3 linked regions of the Astyanax mexicanus genome follow. The protein of the gene in region 2 purifies or fractionates together with the protein of the main gene of each other region. This does not show direct contact. Links are inferred from orthologs where the notes say so. Each region holds a gene or a part of one and is shown on either strand. Other genes may lie near its edges.

The links.
Region 1: the proteins of eif4a1a (region 2) and eif3ba purify together in Homo sapiens (affinity purification with mass spectrometry; 4 studies listed by BioGRID and IntAct, counting the BioPlex papers as one, with this or other methods). This does not show direct contact. The link is inferred for Astyanax mexicanus from reciprocal best matches to the Homo sapiens genes EIF4A1 and EIF3B.
Region 3: the proteins of eif4a1a (region 2) and ibtk purify together in Homo sapiens (co-immunoprecipitation; 4 studies listed by BioGRID and IntAct, counting the BioPlex papers as one, with this or other methods). This does not show direct contact. The link is inferred for Astyanax mexicanus from reciprocal best matches to the Homo sapiens genes EIF4A1 and IBTK.

What each region holds. Positions count from the first base shown.
Region 1 is NC_064410.1:55,935,315-55,943,769, reverse strand, and holds the start of eif3ba (eukaryotic translation initiation factor 3, subunit Ba), read right to left. Parts: upstream 3,867-8,455; 5' UTR 3,843-3,866; intron 3,693-3,842; 5' UTR 3,579-3,692; coding exon 3,476-3,578; intron 151-3,475; coding exon 1-150.
Region 2 is NC_064415.1:26,205,856-26,214,310, forward strand, and holds the start of eif4a1a (eukaryotic translation initiation factor 4A1A), read right to left. Parts: upstream 4,393-8,455; 5' UTR 4,323-4,392; coding exon 4,300-4,322; intron 2,552-4,299; coding exon 2,503-2,551; intron 2,395-2,502; coding exon 2,262-2,394; intron 1,905-2,261; coding exon 1,765-1,904; intron 1,346-1,764; coding exon 1,177-1,345; intron 1,104-1,176; exon of another isoform or gene 964-1,103; intron 811-963; coding exon 701-810; intron 352-700; coding exon 208-351; intron 1-207. Other genes in the region: senp3b (sentrin-specific protease 3b), read right to left, coding at 5,969-6,079, 6,340-6,390, 7,335-7,418, 7,543-7,680, 7,901-7,978, 8,126-8,173, 8,261-8,408. UniProt on the Homo sapiens protein: ATP-dependent RNA helicase which is a subunit of the eIF4F complex involved in cap recognition and is required for mRNA binding to ribosome.
Region 3 is NC_064413.1:27,037,348-27,045,802, reverse strand, and holds the start of ibtk (inhibitor of Bruton tyrosine kinase), read right to left. Parts: upstream 5,507-8,455; 5' UTR 5,124-5,506; intron 2,624-5,123; 5' UTR 2,042-2,623; coding exon 1,718-2,041; intron 1,376-1,717; coding exon 1,279-1,375; intron 1,115-1,278; coding exon 990-1,114; intron 1-989. UniProt on the Homo sapiens protein: Acts as an inhibitor of BTK tyrosine kinase activity, thereby playing a role in B-cell development. Down-regulates BTK kinase activity, leading to interference with BTK-mediated calcium mobilization and NF-kappa-B-driven transcription.

The sequences.
Region 1 (8,455 bases), on a different chromosome or scaffold from region 2:
TTTTGCCAAATTTTGAGAAGATCTTGTGGATGACATTCTTGAGTTTCTCCAGACGGTCTTGTCCTACTTGAGGAACATTGTCAACGACAATGACCGAGTCGATACCATCAGCCTCCTGAGGTTTCTCCCTGAGGATGTCTCCCAGCAGCTCTGCAAAGGCCAAGAATAGTATAAAGTGAAAATTCAACAGAAACATACACTCTTGAAAGGTGCGACAAATTGATTTTTTGATAGTCATTTAATTAATCCATATAGAAGCATTTTTTAAGAATTTATTTTTTAATTCTACATTTGGTGGGAAACAAACTCTCAAGTTCTTCTGAACACATGGTAAAAACATTACATAACAATTTCCAAAGACAAATTCACTGGGGCTGAATGATAATTGAAAAAAATAAACATATATTAATTATGCAACCTGTGTATCAACTAGGAGAGTAAAACAAATAGTAATGAGTGTGTGTGTGTGTGTGTGTGTGTGTATATAAAAAATGGTTGTTTTAGAAATGCCAAAGAGTTACTAGAGGTGGAAAAATAAGTTTTATTGTAGCTTTATATTTTAATATATATATTTTTTGTTGTATCCACAATACTTTAGACATATCAAGGACATCAGTAATTAAAGAATACCTAATTTTACATTTTATTAAAAAAAAGCATAATTAGACCTGTTTAATTGGACGAGATATTTTGAATGAATCACATGTATCGAAATATTTGTTGTGTGTTTTCCAGTTTTAAATTGTATTTTTAAAAAACGTTTTTGCTAATTTATATAGAGGGAATTCTAAGAATATCTAAGCTGTTAAGGTGTGTGTGTGTGTGTATGTATGTATACATACATACATCCCTCTATATAAATTAGCAAAAACGTTTTTAAAAAAATACAACTTAAAACTGGAAAACACACAACAAATATTTCGATACATGTGATTCATTCAAAATATCTCGTCCAATTAAACAGGTCTAATTATGCTTTTTTTTATAAAATGTAAAATTAGGTATTCTTTAATTACTGATGTCCTTGATATGTCTAAAGTATTGTGGATACAACAAAAAATATATATATTAAAATATAAAGCTACAATAAAACTTATTTTTCCACCTCTAGTAACTCTTTGGCATTTCTAAAACAACCATTTTTGCACCATTCTCTTTTGGAATACAGTTTTGTTTTTGTTACACCTGAAACAAAAGCCCTACTAAGAAGCCTTTCTCTAGATTATAATGGATGTTCTATTCAATAATACACTTGGCAGGGCTTCAGGAGCAGGACTTAAAAACCCTTACAAGAACTACTGTAGAAACTGCCAACTACAATTACAAGCAAACCGTTACATTCAGCTGCTCAATTAGATAACATTACCACTGATAACATGTCTTTGAGGCTGGTCTTATTTAAGATGTTTTAAGTGAGCAAGTGTAGCCCTTTAAGGAGCAGTGTAACACTGTTACATATATTTAGGTCTAAAACAAAGAAATAATTGCAATAAAAATACACTCTCCTTTTAAAACAATTTAATGACAGTGATATTATGATAATAAAATAGTATAATAATGCATTTACAATTAATTCTTGAACTTGAATTAAAAATATTTAAAAATCAGAATCCAAAATTATTTAAGAATGACACATCTAAAACACTGCTCATAAACAAGGCCAATGCAGACTAATTTCACAGTGGAAAATATTGAGGTCATGTCCATATAAAAAATTGTGACAGGCCTAGTTAAATTTAATAATTATTATATATCAAAATTTCATAAATATACATATCCTAGCAGCTTTGCAAACTAACAAATGACATGACAGATCACTTCCATTTAGAGGTTAGATATATCAGTTGTGTCAAATGTGATACAAAATATTATTGTATATTCAGTGTTTTGTCACATCGCCAAAAGTATCGTTATTGTGAAAATACCATGAAATATTGTAATATTATTTTAGAGCCATAATGCTCACCTGTAATTTAAAGACTTACAATCTAAATGTATTTAAAATATAAATCTAACACACATTATATAGCAAGGAAACACTTTTTGTATTTTTTAAATAAGAAATGTAGGATAAATGTATTGCAGACATGTGCAGGACATATAGCTATACATTTTTAAGTAAATAAATTTACAGGGAAAGTCACCAAATGTGAAATGTATTGTTGCCTGGAGACAGCACCATGCCATAATATAACTAAAACATATATAACTAGCTAACAATACATGTACTGCACAATCCTAGTAGCTAAATGTTAAAATAGTGGGTTTGACATTATTTAATTTAGTGAGAAACAATCAATTTGGTTATCGTGTATTTATTTATTAATAATTAAGGATACATGTTGTTCGTGAGGAAGGCATATAGATTGCTTAATTAGCACATAAAATAAAGTTATTTACTTAAGTTACATTGTGACCCAACTGTCAGGCACGCCTCATTCATTAGCTTAGCATAGCTTAGAATACTTTAGCTTAGCATAGACGGATAGTAGCTTTGTCCACGCTTGTTAGCCAGACAGCTAACGTTAAGCTAAGCTAGCTAGCATGTTGTACGGTGTTCTGTCGAGTTCTGCTACCTTGTCAATCTGTGCGTCTCTGGTGCATATTTAAAAGGTTAAAATACACAAAAAGTACAATATTAAAACCTAGAATATTTCCAGTAAAAGTCTATGTGCTTTTCTTGGACACAATAAAGCACAGTCTCAGGGAGAAGTTATGGAAATAAGAGGTTATTCGAATCTGCTTTTGCATTTTATTAATAATACATATTGTATACAATATTATATTACATTATAACGGTAATAACATATTACTAACATTATTAAATTGTCATTTACAGTTGTATGTAATGTATGTAAGGTTGATAAACGAACAAAAAACACAGAAAAAGAATTATTATAAAAAAAAGAGCATGAAAAAATGTATGTTGGCGCATGCGCAGTGCCTTTCGAAAGCAGGTACTGATGGGTAGCAGAAGTCGACAGAACACCGGTTCAGATGCTGCTATGGCGTATTAAATAGCTAACTTAACTTATTTATTCAGCTAAAAATTAAATAATAAATTGGGCTTTCGCAGACACTAACAGAATTGCTTATGTTAGCTAAATAACGTAGTTTATGTGAGCCTGTTTATCCAGGTAGCCGCTGTTAGCTTAGCTTAATTACGCTAGATTTTGTATTTGATAGCGTAACTAAGCTAAGCTATGGCCTAATCAACCGACTAACTAACCTAACGTTAGCTAAGCTAAGCTAACGGGCACTGAATGATCATGCCTGCTGCATCCAGCTGCTGCTCCCGAATCACTACTTCAACAGCAAACCACACAGCTTATGATCACAACCCAAATAATTATATAACGCTAATGAAATATATTATATATAAGCCTAGCTACCGAAATCCGCATGACCGCGGTATCAGCGAAATCCGCGGCCGAAGGCGGGCCTCGCCGGGCCGGCCGCTCTCCCAGCCACCTACCCGAATCACTGATATCATCCTCGAAGTCCTCCGGGTCGCTGAACGAAGGCTCCTCGCCTTCATCAAACTCCAGCTCTGCGTCCATATCCTCCGTATCTCTCATCGAGGCTTCGCTGTGGACAATACCGGGCGATTAGCGCGATTCGCGGGTGTTAAAAACCGTAATCCAGCGTTTTTCCTCGCAGGACCATGTGCGGTGCCGCCGGCGCGAACCCCCCTGCGCAGAGAAAAGGAACAGGCCATGTGAGCCCAGCCCGCTCAACACTGATATAGGGCGTAAATTATAACCCTTTAAATACATTTAGACAACTTCGTACATGTTTTAATTTATTTTATAAAATAAACACATTGCTGCGCATGAGCATACCTGCTTATTTTGAGTCAAACTGGTGTAAAACCTGTCCAAATGCTGTTCTAGTTATGTCTCCCCCCTTTTTTCGAGAACTTGGTTTCTCCCACTGAGCCGGTTCCAGCAGCTCGCTTCCCGTGCGCTGTACGTCTGTCTGTGCGTGAGCCACGCTGTGAGTGAACGCTGTGCGCGTGACGCAGCCGGCCGGGCACGTACTGCATGATCTGTATGTCATATGTACGCATACAACACGTTAGCACGTGTTTTGAAGATCAGTACTTTAAACAATTCAGTAAAACTAAGCAAAGGCTACATTCATTCTCCATTAGACTCCAGTCCTTATACTCAGAATCAGGTCACACACTGTATAATGTACATTTTATTGCATGGTCCCTATGAAGCCCCTAAAGTGAGAACATGTTAAAAATGAATGCATGGCCACAACTTATTAAGGCGTGGGATTGATATTCTAGTGCATGGGAATGAGATAATTAAGTAATTGCCACGACTTACTAAGATGTGGGCGTAAGATAATTAAAGCTATGTTCACATTACCAGGCTGAAGTTACTCATATATTTTTTCATGCCTGTGTGAATGTGCCAAATCCATTTTTTTTTTCGAATCAGATCTGAGCCAAAACCATATATGGTCCTACATCAGATACGTACCTGATCCATGTACATGCGACATGAATGTAAACGGTCGAATCAATCAGAATTCATAAGTCTTTTTGCTTTTATGCATGGGCTACATGCTATAGCTGCAAAGCTGAGCATAAACTTCAGACCAGCCGTTTGCTCTCCACTCCAGCAAAAGAAGCTCCACATATGCTGCTAACGCATTTATTTCCCTTTAGAAAGCTACAGGTCGTCTCTCAAATATGTGTTTTTTTGTTGTTGGTGAAAAAGGCGGCATGTGAGGCGTTTCAGGGACAGATTTGTTCACATTACACACATTATGTTTAAGTTATTATGAATATTTAAAAATTAGCAATGGTGTAAAGGATCTGGTGTGAATGTACTTGAGGTTTACCAATGGTCTCAGCGACAACTCATTTAGGAGGTCGCAAAATACCCCATAACCACATCCAAAGAACTGCAGGACTCATTTTCCTCAGTTAAGGTCAACATTCATGACTCTAAAATGGCCTGAATGCCAAGACAACAACCGCTGCTGAAAAGAAAAATTAAGGCTCATCTCAATTTTGCCAGAAAACATCTTGATGATCCCCTTTTTGGAAAAAATACTCTTTGGACTGATGAGACAAAAGTTTAACTTTTTGGAAGGTGTGTCCCTTGACATCTGGTTTCTTAAAATAACATTTAAGAAACATAAAAAAAAATCATACCAGCAGTAAAACATGGTGGTGGTAGTGTGATGGTCTGGTGAAGACTTTGGAGTGGCCTAGTCAAAGTCCTGACCTGAACAGTATTGAGATGTTGTGGCATGACCTTAAAAAGGTGGTTTATTCTGGAAAATCCTCCAATGTGGCATAATTACAGTAATTTTGTGTAGAAAAGTGGACCAAAAATTGTCCACAGAGACGTGAAAGACTCATTGCAAGGTACTGCAAGCGCTTAATTGCAATTGTTGCTGCTAAGAGCTGCCAATCCAGTTATTAGGTTTAGGGGGAAAACACTTTTTCATACAGGGCCATGTAGGTTTGGATTTGTTTCTCACTTAATAATAATAAAAAAAATTGTTTACTTGTATTGTGATTTACTTATATTTACAGTTGTTTACTGATCTGAAACATTTAAGAGTGACACACATGCAATAAAATAAGAAATCATGAAGAGGGCAAACACTTCTTTTACACTACTATATTATAAGTGGATTATTAAATTATTTTAAGCTGTTATTTTTATTGCTTTAAATGTGCAACAATCACAATCATCAAGAGTCTTCAGATCATCAAGAATACAGCCCCTGAACGGCTGTGATGGGAAAAGAGCAGCTGTTTTAAAGACAGGTGAAATATGAGCCCTCATTTTTGTGCAGGTCAGAATCCTCGCCGCAGCATTTCCCAACCACTGCAAGCTGGAAACGGAGATCTTTGGCAGGCCAGAAAAAGCACATTACAGTTATCCAGCCATGAGAGTCAATCCTGCAGACCTTGGATATATTACTGAGGTGGAAGAATGCTGTTTTGCAGACGTTGTGGGTATTAAAGCTGTCAAAAGTGACACCCAGGTTTTTGGCAGAGCTTTAAGCCTTTATAGACTCCAAGGCAAAGGGTTTCTATATAGATAAGAGCCCCATTTCTCACTGTATCCTATTATATTCTAATTTAGCTGCAAAAAATGCTGACACATCCAGGACTTAAAGGTCTCATTCTATCGTTTTTTCATTCATTTAAAAATGTCTAGTTGTAGTCTCTAGTATGAATGGATGCCATGTGAGCCAGTGTTTCTATTTATCCCTGCTTTAGATCACTGAATTAGAGGTCTCTGGAGAAAGACAGGTTTTGGCTCTTGGTCATGAATATTCATACATGCAAACATATCGCCTCTGATTGGCTAACAGCACTGCAGCAGAGAACGCCTACCTGCTGTCACCCCACAGTCAATTTCAAAGCTCTAAAACTCAATGGACAAAATGTTTTCAGAGATACAGCCTTAGTTGTAAAGATACAGAACTGAGTGCTAGGTCAAGTTCTCAACATCGCTCAGCATCAAATGGCCCCGCAACCGAAAAATGTTATCAATGCTGCGGGCTGAGTGTAGACTGTAATATAGTGTAATATAAATATATAGACTGTAATATAGATATGTAGACTGTAATATAGTGTAATATAGTGTAATATAGATATTTGTACCAAGAGGTATAACAAGTCTCCTTTAATATATTATATTATCTGGTAGTTACACCTTATTAAACCAACATGTCAAATTAGAGGGATTTGGAGAGGTCAGGATTACTGATTGATAAAGTAAGTGAATTCTGATATAACTGGACCAGAGCTCATGTGAGGTGTATTTTGAGTAGTTTTTTTTATTTCTCCACCAGAGGGCACCTTTGTGAAAGAAAAAGAAAAAGTGTTCTTCACTTTCTCACACTTATGAAAGAGGTGATTTCCAAACAGTTACACTGATAACATATGACATAGATTCCAAACAAGAACATTAGCAGGAAAAGAAATGGCCCATTCTCCATCACCGTACCCCCGACCCTCCTCATGGCCCAGGCCAAGAGCACACTACAACCTTATTACAATCGTCAGCTGAACAAGTCCAACAAATCTGGCAGATCCTGCACAGCAGCTGCTGCTCACATTGACGGTAGATTAGTAAATATCAGAGTTCACTATAAGTCCAGCAAGAGACAGCCTGGAGGAAATGTAAGGATAACAAGAGTCATGAGTTTGAGTTTGTGGAAGTGAGCCAAGCCTGGCCTGAAGAAAGGGTCGATTGTGCATCTTCCTCCTGCTGCAGGGTTAGAGGAGTTCTCCTTTAGGTGAGCATCACTGTATGCAGGCCTCTGTGTTCCGACCAGCCTGAACTCAAAACGCGGTCTGCATCCAAAACCACATACTGCTAATTAACAGTACATTAGTGTAGTCTAGTGTAGTCTAGTGTAATATAGTGTGGTGTAGTGTAATAAGGGGAGTTTAGTGTAATATAGTGTAATGTTGTGTAGTGTAGTGTAATATAGTGTAGTGTAATGCAGTGTAATAAGGGGAGTGGAGTGTAATATAATGTAATGTTGTGTAGTGTAGTGTAATATAAGGTAATGTAGTGTAATATAATGTAGTGTAGTGTAATGCTGTGTAATAAGGGGAGTGTAGTGTAATATAGTGTAATGTTGTGTAGTGTAGTGTAATATAGTGTAGTGTAATGAGGTGTAATAAGGGGAGTGGAGTGTAATATAGTGTAATGTTGTGTAGTGTAGTGTAATATAGTGTAGTGTAATATAGTGTAATGTAGTGTAGTGTAATGTAGTGTAATAAGGGGAGTGTATTGTAATATAGTGTAATGTTGTGTAGTGTAGTGTAATATAGTGTAATGTTGTGTAGTGTAGTGTAATATAGTGTAGTGTAATATAGTGTAATGATGTGTAGTGTAATACAGTGTAATGTAGTGTAATAAGGGGAGTGTATTGTAATATACTGTAATGTTGTGTAGTGTAGTGTAATATAGTGTAATGTTGTGTAGTGTAGTGTAATATAGTGTAATAAGGGGAGTGTAGTGTAATATAGTGTAATGTTGTGTAGTGTAGTGTAATATAGTGTAATGTTGTTTAGTGTAGTATAATATAGTGTAGTGTAATATAGTGTAATGTAATGTAGTGTGATAAAGTGTAGTGTAATATAGTATAGTGTAGTTTAATATAGTGTAATGTAATATAGTGTCTTGTTGTGTAGTGTAGTGTAGTGTAATACAGTGTAATGTAGTGTAGTGTAATGCAGTGTAATAAGGGGAGTGTAGTGTAGTGTAATATAGTGTAATGTTGTGTAGTGCAATGTAGTGTAGTGTAATATAGTGTATTGTTGCGTAGTGTAGTGTAGAATAGTGTAGTGTAATATAGCGTAGTCTTATGTAGTGTAGTGTTATATAGTGTAATGTAATATAGTGTCTTGTTGTGTAGTGTAGTGTAGAATAGTGTAGTGTAATATAGCGTAGTGTTATGT
Region 2 (8,455 bases):
ACAAATCACCCATTATCCATCATGTTAATTCAGCTGACTACAGCTAAACTCAAACATGTAGAGGACAGTGAATAGTGCAGTTTTGGAAACAGCTTTGGAATCACTGTGAGGCCCTAATGCAAGTACCTGTTCAAAAATTGTATTACTATAATTAGTTGTGTTGGAGAATAACATTAAACATTAGACAAGTTTGAGAAGCTCCTTCACCTCCTTCTCCACATTAATGTAGAACTGACGAATACCCTCCAGGGTCAGCTCCTCTTTCTTGACAAGGATCCTCACAGGATCGCGCATAAATTTAGAGGTGACATCCAGCACTTCCTGTGGCATGGTGGCCGACAGCAGAATCACCTGTAGGAAAACAGAATATTAAAGTTCCTGCTTTAACTGCAACCCATTTAGTGTAACAAAACTAGCGCAATGTGTCCCAAACAAAGTGACTATGGTAATACTTCAGTATAACAAAGTACATTTTATTGCTTATAGATGTGCTTTTGTCTACTGATATATAGTTGTGATAAGGGACAGAGTAACCCAGTCACGGTGGAGAACAGTAATTTCTCTACCAAAGAACTTGATTCCATTCCCAGCAGAGAGAGCTGGGGGGGAAGAGGGAACTTTGGCAAGCCCTGAACCATTTTAACAAATAAACATTGTCACATTGCGCGTCAGTACACATGCATGGATGGAAAAGCTTTACCTGAATGTCCGAAGACAACTTCTGGAAAATTTCATAGATTTGGTCCTTAAACCCTCGGCTCAACATCTCGTCAGCTTCATCCAGTGCAAACTGCTTGATGTGTCTGGGAGCTGAAAGAGGAATGTAGATATAAACAGAATGCACAAAAAAAAAAAAAAAAAAAAAGCTAGTCAGCGTAGCAAGTTAATTTTTGATTTAAATAAAATGTAAACTATGTGGGGGCCACCCACAAAGAATAAAAAAAAAAAGACTGGGGTAATGCTGCGTTCAGGTCAATGAGGTCTGATCATGCCTCTGGAGACCTGTGGCCCCAAACGCACCCCCAACAGAACGTTGAAGAGCGGCCAGGAAGCACAGGGTACTACAGAGTCAGTTGACACGCATAAGGGTTCATCATTACAGCATTCAATCTCACGGAGCTCACCATTTAGGAAAAAAAAAAAAAAAAAAAGGATAAAGAAAAAAAAATTGCTTACAGAGATACCGTCGGTTAAGCATGTCAAAAACACGCCCAGGAGTGCCCACAACAATGTGGGGCACATCTGCCTGCAACTTCTGAACTTCATTACGGACATTGGTTCCACCGATGCAGGCGTGGCAGGTAGCGCCCATGTAGTCTCCAAGAGCAAGGACTACCTTCTGGATCTAAACATGAACAGACACCAGCAAAGGTATGTCAAAAAAAGAAATCTACAAGGGCCAGGCAAATCTGAACCTAACTGGTGTTTACAGAAAAAAAAAAAAAAAATTCCATTTAGTCAGCAAACCAAGTAATGCTGTAACCCACCTCACAGCTTAAGAACTCAATGACTCACAACTGGTGGTAAATGATGAGTAACATAGCGGTGAGTCATGTTGAATATGTACCCATAGCATGAAACAGTCTTTATCTCACTGTACTGAGTAGACTGGGATGAATGGGTAATTTCAATTTTCCCCTATCAGATATAGGACTAGGTGCCACTGACAGACCACTGCCTTGCCCAGATGACAAGGGTCATTCTAAAACATTTGCGTCACCTCACAACAGAACAGAACTACTCACGCATGTAACTGGATCTTACTTGTTGGGCAAGTTCTCTGGTGGGGGCCAGGACCATGGCCTGTGTTGCTTTCATCTCAATGTCAATCTGCTGCAGGATGGAAATGGCAAAGGTGGCAGTCTTCCCTGTGCCAGACTGAGCCTGTGCAATGACATCGTATCCTGTCAAAATAAAAGTCAAAATTTAAGACAGGCCAAGACTGGCAAAATAAAGAGAGGCTTTCCATCAGCAGAAATCTACTGTAGGAACAGCTTGCAATCTGTACCCATACCATGAAACAGTCTTTTGCTCATAGTGGTGAGTAGACTGGGATGAATATGGGCTGTGTTTGATCTTCCCCTAACAGATATAGGAATCTGCCACTAGCAGGCACTTCCTTGCCCAGATGATAAGGGAGGCACAACAGTAAAAAAAGTATTGGTGCATTTAACTCACAAGAGCACATGGTGACTCATGTGTGAATCGACCATACGTATATAAAAGGTTGACTATTCTACACAGAAATATTGTCTACGTACCCTTGATACAAGGGAGAATAGCCCTCTGCTGAATAGCAGAAGGTTTCTCAAAACCATAGGCATAGATTCCTCTGAGAAGATTCTCACGGAGGTTCATGTCATCGAAACTATCGACGACTTCCTTCCAGTTGCCCTGTGGAATAAGCAGAAGTACTTTAGTCAACCTGTAACAACGAACTTTTCAGAAACACAATTACAGGTAATTAGACAGATGGATGATTGAAAAAGATATTCAACACACCTCAATGACTCCATCTGGCTCCATGCCCTCGGGGCCATTGTCTCTAGGTCTAAAAGGAGGAGAACAAACCAGAATTAATGCAATGTCATGTATTGGAAGAAAGTAGAGTAATTTGATCTTTCAGACACATTGAGATTTTGGATTTCAAATTAAAGCTCCAATTTTCATAGTCACTTTTCACCTGCCTCAATAAATAAGACCGAATTTAACAAAGGTAATCGTTGGTTTAAAACAGAAAAGTTAATCAAATGAGAAGGACGTGGATAGAAGATTTAGCTAAGATGGAGGGGGAGCGGACACCGCCAGACACGTCGCAGTTTTCTGTGAAAAAGGCTTTGGAGGGCGCCATCTTTGCCCTCACGTTTCACACGAGTTTAGCTTAGCTAGCTAACGAGGAGCTAGGCTACAGAGCTACATTAAGATTTTACACAGGCAATCGGGTTAATATAACATTTAAAGAGGAACACTGAAGAGACAACACGCACTACTATTGTTTTACATGACTTTAGACTACGAATACTTCAGATTTTTTTAGCTAAGCATAGATCTTTGTAAAGCATGTTAGCTTTAGCTTGTTAACTAGCTAGGCGTTAGCTGACTGCAGCGAATAGCTAACCTGCGAAACGCAGCTCGCTAGAGACGAATGAGCAATATAATCTGGGTTATCTAACTATAATAATCTAGTTTAGAGATCAAGAGTGAGCTAATCTGGCTACTATTAATCTCAAATTTCTTCAAATCCGAAGTGACTGGAGCGATAAACCTGGCTTAGCTTGTAGCTAAACTAGACTCCGGCCTGCTCATCCCATATAGCGGAATTCTCCATTGTCCAAACCGGCAGGCCATGTGCTCCGGTCTTCTCATCGAAATTAGTTCAAACACACACAGAAATCGTGTATTATGGCGCTAAAGCCCTACAATCCGGTTTATTTTAAATGTTTAGATCGAAATAACTAAAGCGTAAAACAGTACTAAACATGTTGAGTGAAAACAGCGCTGAACAGAGAAAGGGAGGAAGAAGCGCCATGTGCGGCCCACGAGCCGGTGTTCTGTCGAAATGTGCTACCTTACCAAATCGTGCTACCAAAGTGTGTATTTAAACATAAAAAAATACCAGAAAAAAAAAAGCACATTTAAAAAGTTGCTCGCTAAAAAAAAAAGTCTCGGTATGAATTTTGGAAAGTCTAAATTCTATATTTTAGGGTTCTGTTAAATGACAATGGGTGATTAGAACCACTTTTTTGTATTTTCCATGGTCATATCATAACTATATAAACTTTAAAATGCGCATGCGCACTGGTCGTAAAAAGCACATATCAACGGGTAGACCAATTCGACAAAACACCGGCACCCAGGCCGCCACCGCTAACCTAACTGACACGCTCAGCTAAACTAAGCTAAGCTACCGAGCTAACCGGTCAGGTCACGTTGTGTTACAGGAGCCGGCACGTTTTAACATAAGGATAGAAAACGGGCTAAAACACCAAATTAACATCGATACAGAACTAATCCGACCTAAATAAACACAATACACGCATTTACCGACATTAATACTAACAATTCTCGCATTTTTATCTACCTAAGCTAGCTTAAACCAGCGTTCTGCCGTGCCCCGCCGTTTATTCGCTTCACAGTCCGGTTAATCTAAATTTAACACTCATCCAGGTCAACTCGCTCCACCGCTGCCCAAATGTAGATATCTAACGAGTCAAATAACGTGTTTAAATATATAAATATATATAGAAATTTATATTAGGGTAAATTAGCACCCACGCTACTCTCCCAGCCCTCACTTACCTATCCTCATGTTCAGCCGACATTATCACAAAGAACAGCACAACGGCGGAAATGTGTTAAATACGCCAAGGCACCGAGGCCTGAACAATTGTGATTGGAGGAGAGTCTCGTCAATCAAAACCAAGGCTTTCCAACGTGACACCTCATAGGTTAAAACGTTAAATTCGTCACGTCGCCCTGGCACAGCCCGCCCCAGGCTTGACGTCAAGGCACAGTCTGTTCTCTAAATCAGTTTCTTTGTACATCAGCTTTTAGAATAGAAAATATGACTGCGTAGATTGGTCTATCCATATAAGAAGTATTTTACTGTGAATTTCCTCATATGTAGACAAATGTCCTATGTAGACAAATGTAAATATTCAGACAAATATACTTTATTTCTTTAAAAAACTTTTAAATGTATTTCTTTTATTACTCTCATACCCTAATTTGCTGTTAAAATGTTCAGTCTCTTTTTTATTCACATTACACTGATCAACTACCCTGCTAAAACAATTTAGCTTAGGACCAGCTGGTTATCATACCCTTTGCTGGTCAAGAGCTCTTCAAGGAGGATAAAAATAATGAAAAATAATACAAAAAATATATATACACAAATAAGTCACAGAAAAAATGATTCTTTACTTTTTTGACAGTTTGAAAGCAGAAGTTTTCAGTTTAATTAAGTTAATGTCACTTTGTTTTCCCCAAGAAATCTTTTACCACTTTACTTCACATTTTTCTACCACTGAAATAAAACTAATAAGGGTTTTTTTTCTCAAGTAACCTCTCCTAACATTTTTGGGATACAAGATTTTTGCAGGCTACTGAAAAGAACCAACTTTTCATACAATCATCGGAACTAAGATTATAAAGTACATTCAACCTGACCAGTTACTCTACAGTTCATTGTAAATGGTATGTGTTGCTACACTGGAACTACACAAAATATGTGGTTGAAATAGCCAAAAACTGTGGTATAATCTAATCTAATATAATCTAGTGTAATCATTTTTTTTTTTCAAAGAAAGACTGACAATCTGATATGACATTTTTTCTGCTTTTGGCAATGTAAATAATTACATTACAACCAGAACCTAATACAAGAGAAAAAAAAATGCAATACATTGCACCGTGTTGCCAAAATCTAAAAATAAACTCAAAATATCCATTATCAAACCTGGCAATGATATTATGTATTATGTATATAGTGTATTATTATTAAGCATATTATTATTACATTCCAATGTACAAAATATACTTGTTGCCAACAGTTATTTAACCACACTCACTCATTCATTTTCATAAGGCATGATTTATTGAAAAATAAAAGTGAAATATGATTATGCTTGCACATCTGAGTAACATGACACTTCCCCACAATTAAAAAAAAGATTTGTAACACCTTTACAGACGGAGGCAAAATCATAGAAAACACTTTGGAAGCCTCTTGCAAGAGTCCAAAATGGCTCCCATTAAAATGCCACATTTCAACAAAGCAGCCATTAGAAAAGACATTGGCCACCACAAGCACAAGAAAGTAACACTGATACAAAACAAAAACAAACAAGTGGGTTTGATAATGCAGTGTCCAGCAATGTCCTGTTTTTTTTTTTTTTTTTTTTACACAGATGGAAGTTTCCAGATGTTTTGTTCTTCCTCCTCTGGCTGCATTGCTTTGACATAAGTATCACAGTGAGAGCTTGCAGTGGCAAAGCTCTTTGTACATTAATCTCCTCAGTTTAGGCATGTCCTGCTGACTGAAGCTAAAGAGCTGTCCCAATGCCAGACACTTGCAGTACTAGAACAAAACAGAGTAAGAGACTCAGACCAAGTGGACAAATATTTGGGGAAAAAAGATCAGGTACAAAACAGAAACCAAAGTATAATATATATATTTCTACATATCTTAGATATAGTTGATGAAATTCAATTCTTTAATACACTGGAACTCTATTTTAAATAAATTTGTTCAGAAAAAAATAAAAATAAATGAATTAAGTAAAATCATACCTTTCCAAATGGTAGAAAGTGGCATGGTGATTTAGTTTTTTTACTTACCTGAAGAACGAATGCCCCACAGTCACTGTCATTATTCTGTCGGCCTACATTCTAAAACACAGATATGACCTCTGTTAACACAGCAAACTCAGAACATAAACCATCATATACTAATAACTAATGTAAGCAGTTTACAAACCCAATATCTAAATTTCTAACAACACTGAAAACTGAAAAGTTGGAGAGAAAAAAATTTGGCGAGAAATCCAGGTCTAGTTTTTCAATACTTGAGGCTATATATCAGCCAGCACTGCACAATCAAATAAAAAACAAACAAACAAGATGAGCAAAACGTAACCAATGCAGGTCAAAGTCATAATACACATTCATGTTTCACATTGTCATGTGAAATAGAAGTGAGCTGGGGCTAAACTAGAAGCTTGGCTATACAAAAAGTCTCTATTTAGGTGGGAAATCAGTAATTGTAAAATTATTAAAATAATAATATTGCATGGTGAACATTCACCCAATTACTGAAACAAAATGCAAAACATGCTAGCTAACTTGATTACCACAAACAATAAATTACAAAAGTGAGCAAAGGCCAGATAAATGCATATTCACTACAATACCTTATGGAACATTATTGTTTTTTTATCATAAAACTGTATATATAACTGTCTCGGTTGCGGCACTGGGCAATTTGTGTGGCAGCTCTTTTCAGCTTAAGACATATCTGAGCGATTAGCACGCTGGCTTACAATGAGCAACAAAATCACAAAGAGGTGATACAACAGTTTCGTTGCAGACTGACTGACTGACTGTTTATTTAAAGCCAGTATGGGAGGAATGGTCTATATAGACACAACCTGGGATCTTTACTGTTTTAGGTCTGTATATCTGAAATTGTTAATACCGGTGAATCCCTTTAAATCTAATGTAATTTTGATCTTTATAAAAATAAGAGACAAATACATACAAAGAAACATGTACAGTGACCCATACATTTCTTAAGAAACACTTTGTGGTCATTAGTCAGGTGTTGAATAACTTACCATTTTGAAAAAGCCTCTCCACCCTGTGAGAAAATCTCTCTGTTGTTTTATGATAGCTTCTGCCTGGAGGTACTTAAAAATATGCTACAAGAAGAATAAGGAAAGAGAACTGGTTAGAAGCTGGTTAGAAGCATGCCTGCAAGTTTACGCTGGGAAAAAATTAACAAAAGCTAATTAGAAAACAAATAAGCACACAAGAGGTGCTGACCTTGGGACAGCGACGGTTAAGAGTTCGCTGGGAATCAAAGTAGGTGATGAACCGTTGCTTAATGTCCACAGACACTAGTGACCAATGCACTTCCAGATGAATAGGAATCAAGAGTAGATCCTTGCTGAAGATATCAACCTGAAATCAGTGTGTAAAGAAAACCAAATGTATTACGCACACAAATACACACAAGTATAAGACTTCCATTGGTATTATCGAAAACAACAAAAGGCTCTAAAGGCATAAGACTTCCATTCCATTCTGTTTCTTTGTGTAGTCTCAAATGAAGAACCATGAAAAAAAAATGACTGGATCAGTAAAAAAAATAATCTCTTTTAAATCAGAGGAAAAATCTTACATTTTTTGTCCACCGCTTAACCCCATCATAACCTTTAGTTCTGAGCTTGTCATAGAAGAAACTGTTGAAGAAATGAACCTAGAAAACATGGATTAAAAAATATTTATTTTATATGCATTCAGCCCATTAAATGACCTAAATCATATCATATACAATGACAGCTTACTTTCACAAGATATTGTTTTTGTGTATTTTGTCCACAAAGAATGTAAGTGTCATATTCACCTTGTCAGGAACTGTATCCATTACAAGGTCCCCATACATGTTCATAACCTGAAATAAACAGATCAACAGGGAAAATAAATAATTAACTATAAGAGTTACACTTAACTATCCTAATTACAACTTTCCATTCTTTACCTGGTCATTAAGCCAGTTCTGCCCATAAAGGGTGCTGAGATCATCCATGGTCAGGACATGGCGCTTGTAGTTCACACTGAACCCTCGCACCATGCTTGTACCCGGGGAGCGCTGGTAGGACTGGATTATCTGTTGCACCTCTGCCTTCCTAATAAATCCAATTGAAACAAATTTTGTAAAAGATGTATGTGTAGT
Region 3 (8,455 bases), on a different chromosome or scaffold from region 2:
AGGAGAATGATGGTTAAGGAGTATAACCTTTCAATCAAGTGAAGCATTATTTCAGTTATTTCATGCCTGGGTAACCTATACAGATTGAAGTAAAACTGCCATCCTTGTGTGATTAATAGTTAGGTGATATCATTCAATAATGCCTATTATCTATATTAGAAAACCGCACACCACTTAATGGTTGCATTGAGAGATTATTGTTGAGACTTACTTTTTTTATTTAATTGTTAGTCAATGGAACAGACTCTTACCTTCACAAATAAGGCATCAAATATAAAAGTGCACAAGAAAAGAACATGCTGTCAGGGGCCAGGCTATGCAGATCACTACTACCCTGCTACATGTAACCTTACCTTCTACATTCTCCCATTCTTTCACTCACTAACTCATAGGAGATTACACACAGCCTGCATTTTCAGAAATGCTTAAAACCCTAGTGAAAGGTCTACAATGAGATTAAGCAGCATTTCCATATCAGCTTACCCCACTGCACATAGACACACATTGTTTAACTGTCTACCAGAGAATATACATGCAAATGAGCCCTCCAGATGACAGAATTGAGAGATAATTAACTTGGACTGCTCAAAAATTACATAAGCACTTGCTACTAAGATTAGTTTAGATGCTCACTGATTAGTTCAGTGTAGTGTAAAATTCTAAATATAATATATTTATCAGAAGAAGTTTAACAAAAGCATGGTGCTGCTGAGGAAGATTGTGTACCTAAATTCACATTATGTGCAACTCCTAATTATGCCTTTGCCAGGCACTCTGGATCCCAAGTAGGAATTACCAGTTATCTGTCCTGGTCCAGGAAAACAAGTGCCTCTCTTAGTACAAAGGTACAAGGAAAGAAAACTTACTGCAATATCCAAGATAATTTATTGAATTTATTGACTATGTTTTGACCCTTATTTAACCCTTGTTTTACCACAAATTAAAGTAGCATCTAAAACAACCAATTACAAACATTCTACCAAGAGTACCTGCTTAACGTAAACTCCAGTTCTGGCAAACAAATCCACAATCTCAGGATGGTGCCTAGTCTCTTGGTTTCCATGCCCAAGGCTAAAGTTGGCGTTGTTGCCCCACGTATACACTTCAGTTGGATCTAACAGGTGAAGAAAAAAAAAAAGTAAAGAATTTTAATTTAAAAATTTAAATATGTTTTATGCTACAAACACAACATCAGATTGTGAGTATGCAACATATCTTTATTTAGCATTTAATTTCTTATATTAGTAAACAGATTTAAATGTGAATGGGATTAATTACCAGAGCTCTGGAAAACGACAAGTGCAGGGCGGTCCTTCATAGTTATGTCGAGAACAGACAAGCCTTCCTTATCCAGAGTAGACACTGCACCACCACGCTGCAACCCAAAGACACAACATGAACCAATAAAATAAATTAAGTTATTGTTTGACTACATTTGCAGTCAGTCACGTAATCTACCAAACAAAAATAAATAATGAACTATAACTAACTATAGAGAACTATAAATAGGCTTTCTATTTTTTTTTACTAAATAAAATATGATATTACCAGAATCATAAAAAAAAAGAAAAATACACATCAGCATGAAAGCAGATAACGATGAGTAGATCAGTATTAAAACTTAGCAACTGTTACATCCCTATTAATGATTTAGAAATAATAAAAGTGCACAAAACAAAACGGCAAGTATAAATAAAATAAATAAAACGAAACACACCTTAACAAGTGCCATGAGGCAATGGATCTGGCCATAGAAGGCACTCCGGTGCAAAGCTGTCCAGCCTGACTCCTTGTCCTTGACCAGCAGGTCAGCACTCTTGCTGTCCAGAAGCCACTCCAAGAGGTCACGTTTGCCCAGTGAGGCGGCAAGGTGAAGAGCGGTGCGGCCAAATTCATCTCGCAGAGTGGCAGCATTGTGGCAGTAAGCTGAGAGGAAGGCCTTCAGTTGGCCTTCTGAGCCACTGGTCAAAGCAGCCACAATCTCCTCCGCATGGCGTGGAGAGCGGCATTTTGAAGTACATTCCGGGGTCAACACACTCATCTTACACTCCTCCTAAAACAGCAAAATGTAATACCCCTTTCCCCCAACAGAGTAAACTAGACCTGTTTCAGCCTATAACAGAATAAGCCCCAAAACAACCAGCAAAGCCTCAGCCCCTTTACACAACTCCTTTGATAAGCAGAAAATAAAATAAATCAGCAAAGAAAAAACACTTGAAGCACAAAATGAAAAGCCACTCTCTGACCCCAAAACCCAGGGTGCTAGAATTGTGCATATGTTGAGGTTCCACTGCACCCTAGCAACCCTAGGGTGAATATCCACCTCACCTCAGTCCACCATATTAACAAAAACCCACACTACCCAGTGCAGAAAAAAAACAATCAATGGCATCAAAAAAGGATAAATATTTGGCTATTTTTTATGTACAAAAGTTTTATAAATATATTCTCAGTTATTCAAAAATACTTGTTTCACTTGTAGTCTAGTTTAGATCATTGTGCAAAAGGCAACAAACTCTTCAACCACCCAAAAAGTCCATCAAAACAGTCCATCCAGTTTGAGGGGAAAGACTCCTTCCCCCCAACACTAATCTTTTTAAGCCTCCATAATTGTAAACGGTACCTGTGCAGAAAATAACAATCATCAGATTAATTCACAAGTTAAAAAGATGCATGCTGTATTTTCCAAGAATTGTTCACAAAGTTTTTTTTTATGTTTTATGGGTTAGAATAATGTGTTGTGGGTTTGTCATTTTGTGCATAGTAGGGGTGTCACGATTCTCTAAATCCTCGATTCGATTTCATTTTCGATTTGAGGGTCACGATTCGATTCGATTCTCGATTTTCTTGTTTTTTTTTCTTGTTATTATTTTATGCCTCATAAAATTTAAATAATATATTTATTATTATTATTATTATTATTATAAATATTATAAATATTATTATTATTATTTATTAAGATATATATGGTAATGCCATCTAGTGACTTTTTTTGGTAGCAACAGTGTGCACTATTAAAATAAGCAGTTTATCAGAGCTGTGTGTGGATGGCTGGTGAAACTGCTCATTACATGAAGCTGCAGTTCTTCATCCAACCACTAGCAGCAGCAGCACAAGCCCCGCTCTTTTCACTCAGTCACTACTTCAGTACAGCCCAGCCACGGGCTACAGAGCTCAGCCAGTCCGTTTTTACTGTTTCTGTAAACAAATAAAGGTTTTAACCCCACTAACCGGATAATACAGCTCACTACAGTTCATCTTTCAGCCCAAGCAGCTAACAGCAGCAGGTTAGAACAGCCGACACGGAGGCACTGCTCGGAATACATTATAAACAGGTCAGTTAGCGCGCTGCTAACCTCAGGATGTTTATAACTACGGAGTTTAGTGGACACACCACGCCGCCAGGTAAGTCTTTTAAAGGCTACTGAAGACTATTAAAGGCTATTAGAGTGTAACCCCTGGCTCCCAGGGGTTACAAGAGGTTATTGAAAGCATTATTGGGGGGCAGAAATCAGTACAGGCTGGTTAGATAAGTGATGTGGGTATTGTCTTATAAATATTTACACATAACTTATATCTCTCCTGAAAAGCTTTTATTTTAGTCAGAAACACGCTTGTGTTTACTTTATCTGAGAGAAAGATGTTTTTTTAATTCAATGGAAAGCAACAGGTGTAGTCAATTATAAGTTTAAGATTTTTAATCCACCTCACTGTGATCTATAGTCAGTGTTCTCAAGTCACACTGACACACGCATTTCAGCGAGTTCACACGCTCTCACCTGCGCGCACCCACCCCTCCGTTAGATACAGATACAAAACCTGCGCGCCCAACCCCCGCCCCCCCCCTCCCCCGTTGGACAGATAAAAACAGTGATCACACTCCCGCCGACTGCGCTTATGCAGTGGCTATCTCTATTTAAATGAATAGGATGCGCTGTGTTGGTGCCGCGCCATTTGCGTAGCGCGCTGCGCTATTTGCGTAGCGCGCGCGGGAGGGATCGTCGATCCTCTTTTTGACTTCGATACTCGAGATCGTGACCTCATTTCGATTCGATTTCGATAAAATATCGAGATCGTGACACCCCTAGTGCATAGTAAACTTTGTTAATAAACTTTACCTATGTTTCTAAGTATTTCATCTGTAAATACACCAACAAAAATATTTATATTTTTTCCATTACTCTGCTAAAAACAGTACCAGTACAATTTTACAAATTTTCAAGTAATGTGTAATGTTTTTGTTAGTTTTTTGTTTTGTTTTTTTACTTTATTTTTCCGATCATTTCAATTTCGGGAGATTAATCTTCAGGGCAATTCCATTCAAACTGGCAAATTGATTCACTAGATTACCTGTATGGATCAAATTTAACGCTTCACATTTCTACAAATCTACAAGGCATTTGAGTAGTTGTATGAAGTGGTTTGTGTGGATGTGTCAGAACGGTGGTGAGACAGTGAATAATGCTCCATGCAATCATATCTATGGCGCCACATATATACATAATGTCTGTAGAGCACAGACATAATACATCAGTAATTTTTGCACACATAATTATAGCTTCAGCAACAAAACAAATCCCTCATCTTCTCAAGTTAAGGAAGAATATTGTGAATAAAAAAATGTTTTTTTTTATGAGTTAAGAGTGTCTCTTGACATGTAGGCTGTGGATTTCAGAGTCAAAATGTTCCTCCAAAAGTAGCTACAGGACTTGTCACACAACACTGTTGTGTTAGCTTTAGCTATAGCTTTGAACAGAGCTGTTTATGTTACAAACTTAGCTAATGTTGGGTAACTTGAAGAGCTAGTTATCAAACTGACATTAACCTGCTAGCTAGCGGGCTAACTGTTTTGCAACACAGAGGTGTGCATGCACTGATATATACAAACAATTATAACTACATATTCTTAAATAAAACGGGCCTAACTACTCTTGCTAAGGGCTGCATATAAGGCATGAATAGTTAGTAGCTAGTTAGGGGAATACTTTACAAAGTTAAGAGAAGAAAGCTAAGCTAGGCTAACTAGCTGACGTTAGCTTAGCATATTTGGGATGACATCACCAGTTAAACAGGCTGTAAACCCTCACAGCAGCCCGGCCCAGAGCTCCCGCTCTGTCACCCACCTGCCGTTAGATGAAGGAGAAACTGGGGTTTGAGTCGGAGTCAGTGTAGCAAATCCACAGACACATCTTCAGAGGAATGTTTTAGCTTTTATAAATGATCTGTAGCGCTGCAGACCGGACAGGTTACAGACCGAGAGAGCAGTAAGGAGCGCTGGGATTGGCTCCGGGGATCCTGTATCCTCCGCCTCTATTGGACTCTGCCTCTCTGACTGCTGTGGGGATGTGGCTCATAAAGTCCAGAGCTTTAAAGCTGTCTAGATTATAAACATAACAAGTAGCCTAGTTTCTCATTCAGCAATCTAAAAAATGTCTATTTTAATATGAGCGACTTCTGCACTCAGTGTGCCCATGGCTGGAAGTCGATAGGTTTAGAGGAGCCCTGTGCTGCAACTTCTCCTCCCATATGTGGGGCACTGATAGCACGAGGGTGTCCCCCCGCCTGCGTCACCGGCTGGACAGAATCGTTGACCGAGAGCTGTAACCTACAGGTTTCCATCACTGGACATTTACCACAGTGTCTTTTTCGAAATATAAGCATTCATAAAAAATATGATGTAAAAAAGGGTTATTTTTTATTTGTGCGACAGTTTATTTGTGCTTTAACATTTTAATTCACTAACTTCTGTTAAGCCTAAGTAGTGGGCGGGGCTAGGAACTGCGTTGAGAGCAGCGGGGAGCAGAGAGAGAGAGACCTAGCATTCAGATGGGAGCTCTTGATAAAAACGTCGACCAGGTAAAGAAATTGATCAGATTTTGTGGTTGATTATATAAAAATATACGAAATTGTATTTTGGGGTGTTTTAGAGAGAAAAAAATGTTTACTACAGTACAAGCAGATATAGCATGTTTTACAAATAAATCTACCTCTCAGTTATGTTAGTTTAGTTGCCAGGGCCTCATATATGCTAACAACATAATGTAAAAAATAAAATTGTATTTTAGGTATTTTAGGATGTTTTAGGTAGAAAAATAGGATGTGCTTTAAATATAATAAAAACAAGGGAATAAACTAACAAGGGAATAGTGTCGGACCCTGAAATAGTTATTTACTTAAGTCACTTTTGTAAGTAAAATTAGGTGTTGAACAACCTGTTAAGAATACACCAGAATGCAGAAAATGGCATCTAATTCATAAGCACTTTATGGGGAAGGATCCAAAGACCATACATCCCCACCCCCCATTAAAAATGCTTCTGAAACCCCTGGGTCCCAGGTAATAAGGCCTTTATGGGTAGCCCAACTGGAAATCAAAAAGGTTTGTCCATGGGTTCCACATATGAATGTCAGTGATGGACCCCATCAAGTCTGTAATGAGACCAGGAGGTGTTAAACATGGGCCCCATCTGGGTTATTCACTGCACATGAGGCCTAAATTGGACTAACATGAGAATGAGGTTGGCTGTAATCATATGCTCAAAGACAAACACATGTAAAACATACTCAGAGCTTATACCAACCTGAAGAGGTCACAATGCCCAATTTAAAATTCCCAATTTAACCTTTGGTGTCAGACGGAATGTTGGATAAGTGGTCGTTGTCATCTTTAGGACAATTAGTCAATGAGTCAGTGTTTTATACAAAAATGTAGACCTAGTCCTGGCCTACACAGTATTCTGATTCTGACTCTACATTGAAAGTACCATCACTAAGGTTAATGTTTGTCTGGGATTTTTTTTTACCACTTTAAACTTTCTGGATAATATGCATAAATAAAAGTGTCCTTCAGTTATGTCACTAATAGCACTGCTTTGTGGCTTATGTAATTCAGACTACTATCTGGGTGCAAACTGAGCACTCTCTCGGTCAGCTGTTGTGGGTAGTGATATGCTGCAGGAGTGACCTTACTCCAGTACTCAGGGACTCAGGTTGGCCAACTGAACCAGAATTAGAACAGCAGGAGTAGTGCAGGAGTGTGGGGTTGCAGGACATGATTCACAAGCCAGAAAACGGATATTCAGATATTTGGCACCCCAAGTAAAAACATAGCCACTACTGATATCTAAATATATTCTCCTCAATTATAAATATCACTTGTAAATCCTAAAATACTCTCTTTAAAAAAGGTCACTAACCCAGCAGCAGGACCAGTATCTGCTCCTTTGGATTGCACAAGGAGGGTTGTACAATCCTACTGTTGGGTACCAATATGAAATCCATAGAGCCACTGTCTGACTGTTGGCCCCAAATTCATCCTGGTGCAGGACAATGCTCGGCCTCATGTGATCAGAGTGTGTTTAGATCAGAGCAGTTTAATTTGATTTTTAATAGAAATTTGAATCCATGTTTGAGCAATAAATAATATTTAATTGCAATTACATATTATTAATGAATTTAAAGTAGGATATCGTTTTTGGTCTGGAAATGAAACCTGTTCTCTCTTTTGTGATTTAAAGTTTAAAGGAATATTTTTCTTTCTCCTGTAAAGTGGCCAAATTTGGAGATTTTATTCCATCAGCACCAGTATAGTACTGTCTTATTGTCCTTTTAAATCACAATGTATGTTTACTTTTGCTTAGGTACAATGCTTATTAATACCCAAAAAATGTTCTACAAACTTTACATTGTTTTATGTCCACCCAAAAAAAAAAGGATCTGTGAATTTAAGCATTTCAATGTCTGTTTTACTTTTGTTGAAAGTATTAGAAACATTGTTTCATCTGAAACCAAGAGGATGCCATCAGCCCAGTGAACACAGTTCCACTGCCCCACTTCTACTCCACCTGTAGCCCATGTCAGGCATTAGGCATGGCACCAATTGGTTCATGCTTATCTTTTCCAGAGAATCCATTTCTATTGGCAATACTTCTCTACAGGGACTAGACATGTGTGTGCTATTGCACCTCTTTTTTTTTTTTTAGCAATAAGTGAAACTTAGGTAGCTGAATGCATTAACTAAAATATTGTAGATGTTTTTTTCTCATTATTACATAAACTGCTATCTCATTATTTTGAGATATTAAGTTGTTATTTTGAACAAATTAAAGTTTTTACTGACTTCAGAATAATGACTCAACTTAATAAGGTAACATCTAAAAATAATGAGACAACTTCTCAAAATAATGAAATGACCAAATTGATGATATATTAGGTATCTCAAAATTAAATGGCATCTCAAAATAAAAGATAACATCTCAAAATGTGATAGTATCGCAACATAATGAGATAGCATCTTAGAATAATGAGATTACATCTCAAAACAATGAACTAGTATCCTAAAATAACGAGAAAACCCCTCAGAATAATGTGAGAGTATCTTAAAATTAATGGAAAACATCTCTAAATTAAGATGTACCTAAAATAATGATATAATATCTTAAACTATTGGGACAGTA